Linked DNA regions of Drosophila melanogaster. The protein of the gene in region 1 purifies or fractionates together with the protein of each later gene. This does not show direct contact. Each region holds a gene or a part of one and is shown in the gene's direction. Other genes may lie near its edges.

Evidence for each region. The genes of interacting proteins can lie anywhere in the genome.
Region 2: the proteins of CG4860 (region 1) and Sps1 purify together in Drosophila melanogaster (affinity purification with mass spectrometry, with the first as the bait; one large-scale study listed by BioGRID). This does not show direct contact.
Region 3: the proteins of CG4860 (region 1) and CG11839 purify together in Drosophila melanogaster (affinity purification with mass spectrometry, with the first as the bait; one large-scale study listed by BioGRID). This does not show direct contact.

Annotation. Positions count from the first base shown.
Region 1 is NT_033777.3:12,218,729-12,223,927, reverse strand, and holds CG4860 (uncharacterized protein), read left to right. Parts: upstream 1-2,463; 5' UTR 2,464-2,477; coding exon 2,478-2,511; exon of another isoform or gene 2,512-2,572; coding exon 2,573-2,812; exon of another isoform or gene 2,813-2,889; intron 2,890-2,942; coding exon 2,943-3,916; 3' UTR 3,917-4,047; downstream 4,048-5,199. Other genes in the region: Rsbp15 (radial spoke binding protein 15), read right to left, coding at 1-487, 575-655, 716-1,194, 1,262-1,445; Cog1 (component of oligomeric golgi complex 1), read left to right, coding at 4,324-4,457, 4,514-5,196.
Region 2 is NT_033778.4:14,267,562-14,272,171, reverse strand, and holds Sps1 (selenophosphate synthetase 1), read left to right. Parts: upstream 1-1,513; 5' UTR 1,514-2,009; coding exon 2,010-3,206; 3' UTR 3,207-3,400; downstream 3,401-4,610. Other genes in the region: conv (convoluted), read right to left, coding at 1-384, 444-613, 674-834, 902-1,002.
Region 3 is NT_033777.3:25,068,164-25,072,124, forward strand, and holds CG11839 (uncharacterized protein), read left to right. Parts: upstream 1-1,763; 5' UTR 1,764-1,801; coding exon 1,802-1,887; intron 1,888-2,039; coding exon 2,040-2,718; 3' UTR 2,719-2,751; downstream 2,752-3,961. Other genes in the region: Stt3B (catalytic subunit 3B of the oligosaccharyltransferase complex), read right to left, coding at 1-1,391; CG11836 (uncharacterized protein), read left to right, coding at 3,255-3,513, 3,576-3,961.

The DNA of each region.
Region 1 (5,199 bases):
CTTCAGCGGGAGGAGCTGCTCCCTCTGTCGGAGCGGGCTCCTCAGCGGGCGGTGGCGGTGCCGCTGCTTCTTCTGGTGGTGGTGGAGGTGCCGGCTCTTCGGCGGCTTCCGGTGCAGCCTCTTCTGCTGGCGGTGGGGCAGCCTCCTCAGCCGGAGCTGGTGCTGCTTCATCAGCAGGCGCCTCTGCTGCAGGAGCTTCCTCCGCTGGCTGAGCTTCCGCAGCCTCTTCATGAGCTTCTGGCTCTGCTATAGCAGTGGCCGAAGTTCTGGCCGTGGCCGGAGCAGTGCCTGGGGCAGATGGCGGCACAGTTCCGGGAGCAGTTGGTAATGGTGTTGGTCCGGCTGTTATCGCAGCAGTTGTCGGTACTGTCGAGAGATTTACGTCGTCATAGCCATCCTTTGCTGTATCCGGTGAAGAGCTAGCATCCACTTCAGTTGGTTCCGTTGGTTCGGCACAGGGGTCTACGATTGGCTTGGTAACCACGCGCTGCAAATTTGGCGTAAAAAATTAAGAAAAACAGTTTAAAATATAAATATATATAATGTAAAATAGTTTTTAACTCTTGTTACATACCAACATAACCTTGCGGAAGAATCTCTGAAGAACGCTCGCTGCCTGTTCCCTGCGCTTTTCCTCCCCGTCGTCCTCTTTTTCCTGTTGGATTTAAGTCATAACCAAGTTTAGGGGCAGACTTTTAGAAGTAGATTCACTTACCGCTGCGCAGACACAAACGCAAACTTCTTGCGGGAACTGGAGGCGAACCCAGTATCCTCGCCAAGCCGCCTGGATCGTGATGGCTGCCTGGTTGCGCATGGCCTCGTTGATACGCTTCAGTTCCCTGTCCCGGAAGTACTGGTAGAGTAGCTCCGTTCCATCGGCTCCACGTTCGGCGGACATATAGGCGTCCACGAAGCGCTTGTAGGCACTCTCGATGGCCGGCCGTGACATGACCAGCTCCTCGTCGGTAAACTTGCACTTCTGCAGCAGCTCCTCTAGGATGTCCACATCCTCGAACTTAATCGCCTGCTTGCCACGCCGCATCTCGCAGCGTCGTTTCTCGAGGAAGTTACGGAAACAGTCCTCTAGAACCTGGCCCATCAACTCGGACTTCTCCTTGGAGAGATCACAGACACAGAGGTCCGATATTATGCTGTCCACCTGGCGCAGAGAGCGATCCAAAATGGTCTTGGCCACTGTAAGAAAATACAGGCGTGCGTAAAGAAAAGTTTGATACTTTCTACATCCTGTGGGAGTACTTACCCATAGCCTTTTCCCTTGTCACGATCACCGAATGTAGATAGTCGATGATGAACTGGCAGAGGCACTCTTTCTTCGGCTGACACCTTAGCACCTCCCGTGTAACATCTGATAGAAGTTCCGGCAGACCCTCTGGAACATTAATCGCCTGCTGGCGCATCTTGCCACGCTGGATCAAGTAATTCATCTTCGTTTTTCAAAAGTATAAAGCAAAATTCTATAATTTTGAACAGTTTAGCTGAGAAGAAGATAATAATTCGGAAATGGTTCAGTTTTGAAATCCCTTTTAACCGGTCTACTACGTTAAGAGCAAATGAAAATAATAATTTACAGCGCTCTACAATGATTTTTACACGGACTGACTGCGAAATACCTTGCTGATGTAAGGTGCTCAGTTCTGTTTACTTAACCTAGATGGCGCTAGCAAAAAGCTGGTTTAAATGTTTAAATGGTGAAAAACAATAATGGGTTATATATTCTCAATTTGATCCATGAGCTTAAATGTTTCAAAAAACTGTCTCACACGTGTTCCTGAAAATTCCCAAAGTCCACTAACTTTGTAATATGTAAGTTGAAAAATTGTAATGTGTACTTGTGTTTCATGTGGGTAAAATGCACCTTGTACCTTTCAATGAAAGTGGGTGTGTATCGGAAATTAGCATTGCCTAATTTCGTATTCAGCCGGTATAGGAAATCAACAGGGTTCTTGGTGGATTCTTCTTTATCGAAATCCATTGAACCGCTTTCCCTTTCTGTTCTTTCAAATGATCTTTAACCCAGAAACTTGGTAATTTCACAAAGTTAGCGCCAAAACAAAATACTTTCGATCATTTTAGGTAGTACTATATAGTTGAAACACTTTATACGAACACAGTGGCGCAGTGGTGACTTCGGCGCTTATCAATACCATTTTTAAATGAAACTTTAAAATTTGTTAAAAACCGATTATAAATTACAAATTTGAAACAACTAAAATGATTTTAGTAATTCTTATACTCAATTAAAATCAATTTAAAAGAACCATTTTACAAAATCGATTAGTAGTTTTTAATAAACGGGACCCCCTTTCAATCTCCTCCCATGAACTTCGCCTCAAAAAGCTGCGTATAAAAGCTGTTTTCCTCGGTTGTATTTCGATCGGCTCGTCGACGAGTGCGAAAAAGCTTTCACTACCTCGATCGCAACCGGCACCACGGGCTTGGGATCAGTTGGCGACGGAATGCAGCAGCTGATCAGAGTGGCGCGGACGTTGGGTGAGGAACTGGGTGATTCCCGGCTGACTGGATGATCGATTTGCCGCCTCCGTCTTTGCAGGTCAACGCTCGAGCGGCGCATGGAGTGCGAGGATAATCGCTGGTGGAAACCGGGGAATCGCATGCCTGGCCGCCCTCTCCGAGACCCACCAGATTCTCCAGAAGACTTGCCGGGAGTTCGCCAATGCGGAACTGGCCCCCAAAGCGCGACACCACGACCGGGAGGAGCTTTATCCGGCGGAACAGGTCCGACGGTTGGGAGAACTCGGTCTCATGTCAGTGACGGTTCGAGAGGAGTATGGTGAGTTCCTATTTCAATTATAATATTTACAATATTTACATAACATAAAATATGTGATGTTTTCATTTTTGAAATGGTATATAAATAGATCATACTACTAGATTCCATTCATTAAATATTGATTTTTCAGGTGGTTCCGGATTGGATTACCAGGCCTACGCGATTGGCATGGAGGAGGTGGCTCGTGGTGACGCCGCCGTGTCCATTGTGATGGGCGTGAATAACCTGTACCTGGGTGCAGTGCAGCAGCATGGAACCGAGCAGCAGAAGCAGGATTTCCTGGTGCCGTACACCCAGGGTGAGCACATCGCCTTCTATGCACTATCGGAACCTGGAAACGGATCGGATGCAGGAGCTGCCAGCACCACGGCCAAGCTGCAAGGGGACAGCTACCAAATAAACGGCACTAAAGCGTGGATATCAAACTCCAAGGAGGCCAGCGGGGGTATCGTCTTTGCCACGGTGGACAAGAGCATGAAACACAAGGGAATCACTGCCTTTCTTACGCCCAAGGATGTTCCAGGACTCTCCATAGCCAAGAAGGAAAGCAAAATGGGCATGCGCGCGACTTCGACTTGCCAGCTGGTGCTGGAGGACGTTCACGTGCCGCGATCCCGGGTCCTTGGAGCTGCCGGTGATGGCTTCAAGATCGCCATGCAGTCCTTGGACTGTGGCAGGATCGGTATAGCCGCCCAGGCCACCGGTATCGCACAAGCTGCCCTGGAACTAGCCGTGGATTATTCGCAGAAGAGGGTGGCCTTCGGAAAGCATCTGGCACGGTTGCAGCTCATCCAGCAGAAGCTGGCCGACATGGCCACGCGGGTGGAGATCTCAAGGCTGCTAACGTGGCGTGCCGCTTGGCTGAAGGATAATGGGCTGCCAATCACAAAGGAGGCGGCCATGGCCAAGCTGCATGCCTCCGAGTCCGCCACCTTTTGTGCCCACCAGTGCATCCAGATCCTGGGTGGGATGGGGTACACCACCGATCTGCCTGCGGAGCTTTACTACCGCAACGCCCGCGTCACAGAGATTTACGAGGGAACCTCGGAGATCCAAAGAATTGTGATCGCCAACGCAGTGCTGCGGGAATTGGGAAAGGAGTGAAAGCCATTGTTGGTTTTTCTTTATTACTGCTGCCAAACCAATCAGAATTCTTGCTTTTACACTTGTTGTGTATGTAAATTAGTTTATCTATGCCAGACAAATGCATTTAATAAAGTATATTTAAACAAATGAAACCTGGATTTAGAAAAATATCTTTTTTCGATTAAATGAGGTAATTCCCCTAACTATAACTCTTTATGTTATATTGAAATGTAACGGCTTGCACATGACAGCATATCTAACATTTTTACCAACAGAGAAATGTAAACTAACATAAATTTAACAGTCATAGACAGTCATGAGAGAAAATATCGATGTTGCCAGTCATCGATACATAATTCGATTTTATTACAGCTGCTCCCTTGTTATTGTTTTCTTAATTTAAATAAAACTAATTTGACGGCTAAATGACGGCCAATTTGTTAAACCTGAACGTGGACACGCTGTTTGAGCAGCACAGCGTGTCCGAGATAGACGAGGTGCACAAAAAGATCCAGTCGGTGGTGGAGAACAAGCGCGAGGAGTTGCGCACTCATGTCGGGTGAGTGATGTGGCACCTTCAGAAGATTTGCTGCTTAAACATTCTAAATCTTTAAGGGAGCGGTACCGAGATCTTTTGCAGGCGGCTGACACCATTGCTGCGATGCAAACGTCGGCCGGGACACTTATGGAGCAAGTGCGACACGTGCAGGCCAATTGCCGCAGTCTAAACGAGCAGCAGCTCCTGGGCTTCCAGTCAACTGCCAATGCAAGTGCTAAAGATGCCGCACTGAAGGAGAGGAACGCCGGAAAAAAGCTGCAGACCTACTACGGCACCATGGCTCAGATTAAGTTGCTTACTGCCCTGCCGGAACTAATCTGGACGCACTTGGACAACGATCGCTTCTATGCCGCTACTGAGTTGTTCATCTTCAGTCGCCACATCAGCACGGGCTTGCAACTGGACGGCCAGAGTGCCCTGATGCAGAAACTACCGGTAGCGCGCAAGCAATGGGAAATCCTGCGTCCCTTTCACGTGACCATCAAACAAGCCATACTGACCGCACTGGAGAGGGAGGAACTCCTACAAGAAATGACTGTGGACTGCCTGCAGAGCCTTCTCTTGCTAGACAAAAGCGATTTGAGTACTGTGCTGAAATCCTTCTTGAACCTGCGCTCCTCAGCCTTTCTGAACTGCCTGCAAAGCGGTCCATCGGAGCCACGTCGCGTCAAGGATCGCATTTTGGCTAGCTTAAACGTGCTCAACAGCACCGTGGAGCTTCTGGACAAGTGTCTTTTGGGTA
Region 2 (4,610 bases), on another chromosome or scaffold:
CAACACAGAGTTTCTGGCAAAAGTTCCGCGACTAAGTTCGCTTAGGGCATTATGAGAAACGTTGCACCATCCCAGCTTTGTCAGATCAGCTATGTGCTGTGCCTCCAGCTTTTTGATCTGGTTGTGACTTATATCCAAGACCTCCAACTCTCTTAGATTCTTAAATTGGTTTCGTTTCAGATTCTCCAATTGATTTCCATGCAAGTCGAGCGTTTTTAGTTTCCGCAATGGCTGGAAAGTCTCAATAGGCAGATCACTTAGGTTACCATTGGTCACACGTATGATTCCCAGACTATTGGCGATCTCTTGGCCAGCAAATAGATCCTTGGGTAGCTGTTGGAACGCATGGCCATCGATTACGAGTTCCTTAGCTTTTCCTAGAATCTGAAAAAAGAATTTCCCGTTTAGATAACGATGGTATCGGTATATTGTTTAATTCTTACGCCGAATCCTAGTAAACCAACGTGGCTTAGATTTGTGCGAAGTAAATGCAGTTGCTCCAAAGTATTATTTACTCCATAGAAAACATAATCCTCAATGGTGGCCAATGGTGTTTCTTCTATGATCAGCATTCGTGCTTTGATATGAGCAAATAGTGGCCCATATAGACGAACTAGAAAGAGAATTTGATTCTTCAGCTTAACAGACTAAAAGGACGTGTAGAAGTACACACCGAAATGTCCTCTGTAGATGGTCAACTCCTCGATGGGCATACCAAAAGAGGCCAAATTCTGAAGGGCTACGGATAAGGTAGCCAAGTTTGTATTTTCGCACCGAATGTAGAGGCCATTATCGCTGCCCTTCACACATTCGCAGGGGTACAAGGCCTTTGATCTGATTTGAAAAAAAAACACCATATAAGTGAAGAAATATGTAATATACAATATTTGGAATAACTCACTTTTTTGGACACTTGAATTCGGGTTCGCCATACACATATTCCGAACTGGCTAGGGCAATGAAGTGCAGCAAAACGAGAGTGCGCAGGCGTAGCTGAATCATGTTTTAATGATTTCGTCACCGTTTTAATTTAGTTTATCCCATGGCCCAAAACCAAGTTCGCTGCTCAAGTCTTTTGTGTGGGCTTCGATTTCCTGAAACTTATAGTTCTTTGTTTAACGATGTTCCGCTTGAATGAGGTGGGTTTTTTTTTGGGATGTGGAGTAAAGTTAACTTGTCTTATCAACGAACAAAGGTAAATGGTTTCTTCTACTTTTACTTTTCGCTCTGCTGGCGCAACAGGTTTTCATGGGCCGCTCTTGTGCGCTCTTTGTGACCAGCACTTTGGAGCTCTAATTGAATTAATGCCAACTATATTAACTGCTCCCGAAAGTCAGAGCACTGTGAACCACAGTTTCCACTTCGGTTCCCCCATTTATTCCGCGGTTTTAACATATTTTTATTTATTTTACCCTTGGCGCACAATACAATCGATAGATTTCGGGCGAGTTGGCAGCCCCGTTGAACCATCGCTTCAGACAATCGGCATCCCAAATATCGAATCAGCCGCACACGCTAATACAACCCTGTTGTGACATCTCGCTCGTTGGAAAAGCAAAAACCAGGCGCAAAATAAATATAATTTGCTAACGTTACTCTACAATTATCTTTGTACAATCGCACAAGCAAACGTAAGTACCAAAAGACAAACGAACGCAACGAACCAAATGGCCAATTCAAAGCGCGCACTTTTTGGCATTTTGCAATTGAAATGAGTGGGCATTGTTCACGTTGCTCGCCTCGTCGACAGGGAGAAATACTGACTTCGCCCGTTTTAGCCGCCATCGCGACTGCAGCCAATCACGGGCCGCGCTACACACACGCGGCAGAAAATCCGTGTACATACACGTCTGAGCGCTGTGGTATTGGTGGCCGGGGAGAACGCGAGTTACTCGCTGCATAGAGTAGCCCACTATGTGTTTATTGCGCGGCAAAAGTGCGTTAATCGGTTAAAGCCGCTACTTACATTCTGTTCTTTGCATCTCCCCCATCCACAGCTATAAAGCAAGATGAGCTACGCCGCTGATGTGCTGAACTCGGCCCATTTGGAGCTCCATGGTGGTGGCGACGCCGAGTTGCGTCGTCCATTCGATCCCACGGCCCATGATTTGGATGCATCCTTCCGCCTTACACGCTTCGCAGATCTAAAGGGGCGCGGCTGCAAAGTGCCGCAGGATGTGCTCTCCAAGCTGGTGTCCGCCCTGCAGCAGGACTACTCTGCCCAGGACCAGGAACCGCAGTTTCTCAACGTGGCCATTCCCCGCATCGGTATTGGCCTGGACTGCTCCGTCATTCCGCTGCGACACGGCGGACTCTGCCTGGTGCAGACCACCGATTTCTTTTACCCCATTGTCGATGATCCCTACATGATGGGCAAAATTGCGTGCGCCAATGTGCTCAGCGATTTGTATGCCATGGGAGTCACAGATTGCGATAACATGCTGATGCTGTTGGCGGTCAGTACCAAGATGACAGAGAAGGAGCGTGACGTGGTCATTCCGCTGATAATGCGAGGCTTTAAGGACTCCGCTTTGGAGGCAGGCACCACTGTGACTGGAGGCCAGAGCGTGGTCAATCCGTGGTGCACCATTGGTGGGGTTGCCTCGACCATTTGCCAGCCAAATGAGTATATTGTGCCAGATAATGCCGTGGTAGGGGATGTACTGGTGCTAACCAAGCCACTGGGCACCCAAGTGGCCGTGAATGCCCACCAGTGGATTGACCAGCCGGAGCGCTGGAACCGCATTAAGCTGGTGGTGTCCGAAGAAGATGTACGCAAGGCCTACCACCGGGCGATGAACTCTATGGCTCGCCTCAACCGCGTAGCCGCTCGCCTCATGCACAAGTACAATGCCCACGGAGCCACCGATATTACTGGATTCGGACTACTAGGCCACGCTCAAACCCTGGCTGCACATCAGAAAAAGGATGTCTCCTTTGTTATCCACAATCTGCCGGTGATCGCCAAGATGGCTGCAGTGGCCAAAGCCTGCGGCAACATGTTCCAGCTGCTGCAGGGCCACTCGGCGGAGACCTCGGGAGGATTACTGATCTGCCTGCCGCGAGAGCAGGCCGCTGCTTATTGCAAGGACATCGAGAAGCAGGAGGGCTACCAGGCCTGGATCATCGGCATCGTTGAGAAGGGCAATAAGACCGCACGCATCATCGACAAGCCCCGCGTCATTGAGGTGCCCGCCAAGGACTAGGTCTCCATTGCCTGACCATCTGCTATTGTCTACCTTAAGTATCTTAATATTAACGTAACGGCTGCTACATTCAGTTGTAACCGGCATGATCGGTCTTTGTTTTTTATAAAAAAGCTTATCAACTACAGATTCACTGATCATTATAATCTTGGACGTCTCTACTGCAATACGAGTGAATAAAATGAAAACACTTGAATCTTTTGTATCGAGTAATTGGAATGCGGGGCATCTGAATGAGCTTTTTCCAGTCAACTTTGTTATTAAATTACAGCTCACAGTTTGGCAAAAAGTGGAGCATCTTCGGAATCGCATACATTTTGAACAGTTGTGTGTTGAGAATTTAATCGACTTATTTAACCCACTAAATAAGTTGTAGAAGTCACATTTATTTTTGTTTAGTTAGTGCACCTGCGCTTTGAGGCTAAAAACTCAGCTGGTGTAAATTTTAAATTTGCTTGCTGATTTTAGTTTACAGTCGCATGCTTATGAAATCAGCACGCGTTTTGAAAGTCAAATTGTTGGAGGTTTAAGTGAATTTTAATCGTTAAGCTTTGTTTCGCAGTTCAAACTTGGGAGCGGGTTATCAGGAAAGTAATTGTCAAGTACCAAGCCAGCAAAAAGAAGTGTCATGTATCTCATTTAGATACGTGTGCTGATAGTACCTTCAGATAGTTTAAAACATGTTTGAGTACAGGAATATTCTTACTAAAAATATGATCATTTTGAACTGAACTTCATTTGAAAATTAATTGGTTATGATAAGTTTGAGAGTGAATTTCGGAAACATGGACATTTAAAGAGACATTTAAAGGACGTTGATTTGTTGAGGAGAATTTAGCATGGGTTATCAGATACCCTAACCTCCTAACCTCTATTGTTCGATCAATCGGCATTAGTTGCGGAGAGCGAAAAGCTTTGCAAGCTCTAAAAACCAAAACCGAGCGAGAGATGCTCTCGTGCGAACAGGTCTCCGGCAAGTTGCCATCGGATGGGATCGGATCGCACTGGTGGGGATCGGGATCGCTGGTGGCAAGTGCGGATCGTGGGCCTCAGTACCGCCCGAGCTAGCGACGCGTTAAGATCCGCATCCGAATCGTAAACACAACGAGAAACTTACACTGCGCGCACCGTTACACTTTTGTGCTGGGAGCGATCGAACACTAATACACTGACCAACGAATTTCCCGCACAACGAAGAGATTTTCCCTCCCCAATTGAACTGTACTTGGACGTACGTTGCGTTTTTGGAGTTTTGGAAAAGTGCACAGTGAGTGCTGCAAGTATTTGTACATACAGAGCCACATAGCGATACAAACGTCGATAGATAGAAAGATACATATGTAGATAGTGTGTGGGCTGTTGGGGCTCTTTGCTGTTCGGTGTTTGGTGTTTGGAAGACGAGCT
Region 3 (3,961 bases), about 13 Mb from region 1:
TTGTCGTACAGCGTCTTCTTCTCAATGGAATCCTCAGCTTCATCCACTTCGGTGGCTGCGCTTATGGCTGTGCCCATTCGCTTAGACGAATCCTCTTGCAGGAACACATCCAACAGTCCCGAAAAGGCCACTCCGGCCAGCATGCACACCACCGGCGTGAGGGTCAACATCAAACGCACCATCACACCAGCGAAGTAAACCGCACTGATGGCGTACAGCACCACGAAAACGCGCTCGTCGTTGATCTGCTTGATGCAGTACCACACTCCCACTGGGAAGGCGCACACCAGGATGTGCAGATCAAAGAAGAACGAGAACCAAGTGGTGGGCTGATGCTCCGACACGGATGCAATGATGGGAATGTGGATCTTGGCGTAGCCAGTATCCCACAGCGAGTAGAAGCGTCCACTCCACGGGGCCACAACGCCCAGCATGGTGAGCACCACGACGGCCACAAAGACGCCAACGCCCACCAGCAATCCGCCGACGATGAACAGCTTCCGGAACTCGTTGCGCGACAGCACGGACTGCAAATGGCGCAAGGTGGCCACGGCCATAAGGAGCACAAACACTCCCAGCGCAGCCATGTGTTCACTGGTGCGTATCGGTTGGAATCCCACGAAGGGGATCTGCATGGAGAACAGCAGTCCCAGGATGTAGAAGGTGCTGTAGCTGGTCAGCAGACGCGGCGAGTACCTGCCCATAATGAGCAGTACGAAGACGTGCAGGGGTATCAGGTTGATGATGAACACGTAGCCACCCCAGGCGGACACCATGTAGAAGTAGGACAAAGCGGCTGCGGCCGACCAGAACACGGATCCAGTCTTCACTGAGCGCACCCACAGGAAGTAGGTGAACTGCAGGGCGAATATGGCAATGCCCTCGTTATCGTACGATCCAGCCACCGACCTACTGATGTAGCCAGGCACGATGGCGATGAAGCTGGCGGCGAAGAGGCCGGCGCCCGCGGACCACAGCTCCTTGGTCAGCAGGTAGGTGGAGATGGAGGTCAGGCCACTGAAGATCGGCGCCAGGAACACGCAGATGTCACGAATATGGACCGGTATGTTGAGTACGTGCAGCAGCCAATGGATTCCGCCGGACGTAATCATCAGGCCGGGATAGACGGTACCGCCCACAATCCTGCCGAGCGGATACCATGCGCGCTCGTCGAACCAGTTGAGGAAGTTGTACCAACCATTCTGCACCATGTAGGCGGTGGCCCGGTAGTTGAACCACGGATCAAACTCATGGATAATCGACTCGAAACGGATGACGGCGAAGAGGCGAGAGGAAAATCCGGCCAGCCAGGCGATTAGCAGGATGGCGAAGGTGATTAGGCTGCTGTAGCCAGCCACCTTGCTGTTCAGCATCTTCGGCGTCCGATTCATGTCCCAATTCCAGCCAGTAACTCGAAAATTATAACCGATCTGAAATGCAACGACACATTCTTCGCTTAGACACGTAGTCTAAAAAAATTGCCGGGTAGACTGCCAACTCGGTTTTAGATACGCTATCGATAGTGCAATCGATAACAAGACCAGGGCAACGTAACTTTGAATGCTTTTAAATTTGTACTTGCCTCGTTTTCGTTGTATTCCAAAATAATTTAAAATACATCTAAACAATTTTTTGGAATAACTTTTTGTTCCATTTATTTGCATAGCATAAAAAAATAAGCAAACTCTCCATTCCATTTGTTCTGTGTCTTGTTCAAAATAATCGCCGTTGCGCTCATCTCTAGTTTAATTCCTATGATTGACAGAAGCCGCTGAAAAACCTAAGAATATTGAAAATCAACATGAATAATGGGAATATAAAACGCCTTCAAAAGAAACTCAGCGTTTCGAAAAAGCCAGCAGTCACTGTGGATTCACCATTGGCAAAATATCCTTTACAAAAGCAAAAAACCCACTGAAATTCTATTGTTGTTTACACTTTCTAGCCGGTGTTTACTAAAACATGTTGTTTTCTAATATAACTTTTAATTTCGAATAAATATCCAGCTAGTTGGTTTCCTTAACTGAACTTAACTATACGTATGACTCCTCGGGCATCTTGACCTGCATTATTTGCAGGATTCCTATCAAACCCAACGTCTGGAAGGTGCATATAAATTCCAAGCAGCACAAACTGAACGTCGATCAGGCTAAGCAGAATAAGGTGGAGAAACCCGTCACCACTACTGCACCCAAGGATCCTACGGGTCCGTCCACCAAGACTTCAGCTCCTGCCAAAAACTCCAGCACACTGCCAGATAAAACTCCACAGAGCAGCCAGGAAAAGCATCCTCCCCTCATTCAAGAGAAAACTGCCCAGGGAAATGCGAGCAGCAAGCCTGAGAATGAAACTACTGTCGAGAAACTGCCAGAAAAGTTCTTCGACGAGGATAAGACCAATAAATCGGAGGCCGCTCGCCTTCAGGACGAGGAATGGCAGCGATTCCAGCAGGAGATCAAGCGGGCGGACACGGAATCCAGTGAAATTGTGGCCGACGAGCAGGAGGACATCAATCTCAAGCGACACATCAAGGAGATCGACGAGCAGATCGACAACTGGAAGAGATTTATTAAAATTAACGATCAGAAAAAAGTACTCCTTAGTAAAAAGCGAAGAGTAGACCCCAAGATGGAGGTCGATCCGGAATTGAGTTCAAGCGAAGAAGATTGCAGTGTGGATGATTTGTTCGACTGGAGAACGAAAAATCTGCATAGCTAGAGAATAAATATGGTATTAAAATGTTACTGTTATAAAACAACAAACGTCTTTTAATTAACGCATTATTCCATTCAAAAGTCTTTCCAAAGCCAAAAAAATTCAAAAAAAAAAGCGTGTTAGAAAATTTTGAAAATATAATTTCGTAGATTTTTATAAACTGAAAGTGAAAAAAACTGGTGGAACAGCTGACACATCTTGACCATGAAAGTGGTCAACAGGTAGAAAGTGGTACGTGGCCACACTGCGACTAACTCTCACATTTTGTATTAGCGCTAAGCGATCCGTACGCTACATTACTATCAGACTTAGTACATATTTTATGTTACATTAATTAGTTACAGACTCTTATTTATTCTTAAGCCGTATCTACAGAAACCTTGTTAATGTTGTGTTGAGTATTACGTATTAGTTGTGCAAATGTTTTGTTGTGTTTAAGAATGTTTTGAACTCGTTACGTTGTTTGTTTGATGTGATCAAGTTTCCCATAAACACAAACATATCCCCCCATTTGTTACAATGATATCTAATTCGTGAACATGAGCCTAAAGTATATAATCTTTTTTTGGATGTTGACGGCGAACTATTCAAGTGTCTTAAGCTTGGAATATTCCAAAGGTTTCAATGAGTCGGACGCTATTAACACAATTCACACGGGCCACAATAAACGAACCAGTAAATTTCTATTTGACACAATTTTTCGCATAAGTTCGGGAGTATCGAATGCCTTTGGACTTTCGGATACCGAAGACGAGGTCGAGTATACCGAAAATTCCAGCCTAAAAAACTGTGACTGTGGTATGTGCATGTGTTGTTTGTTGCTGATATTTAAATTAATGTGATAAATTTCACTCGTGCAGATTGTGGCTTTTCGAACGAAGAAATCCGGATTGTTGGGGGAAAGCCCACGGGTGTTAATCAATATCCTTGGATGGCACGAATCGTGTACGACGGCAAGTTCCATTGCGGAGGATCCTTACTGACGAAGGATTACGTTCTATCGGCCGCTCACTGCGTGAAGAAACTGCGAAAATCCAAAATCAGAGTCATATTCGGCGACCACGATCAAGAGATCACCTCGGAGTCACAGGCCATCCAACGTGCGGTTACGGCTGTGATAAAGCACAAGAGCTTTGACCCCGATACATACAACAACGACATTGCCCTGTTGCGACTTCGCAAGCCTATATCGTTTTCTAAAATTATAAAGCCAATCTGCCTACCGCGCTATAATTACGACCCCGCA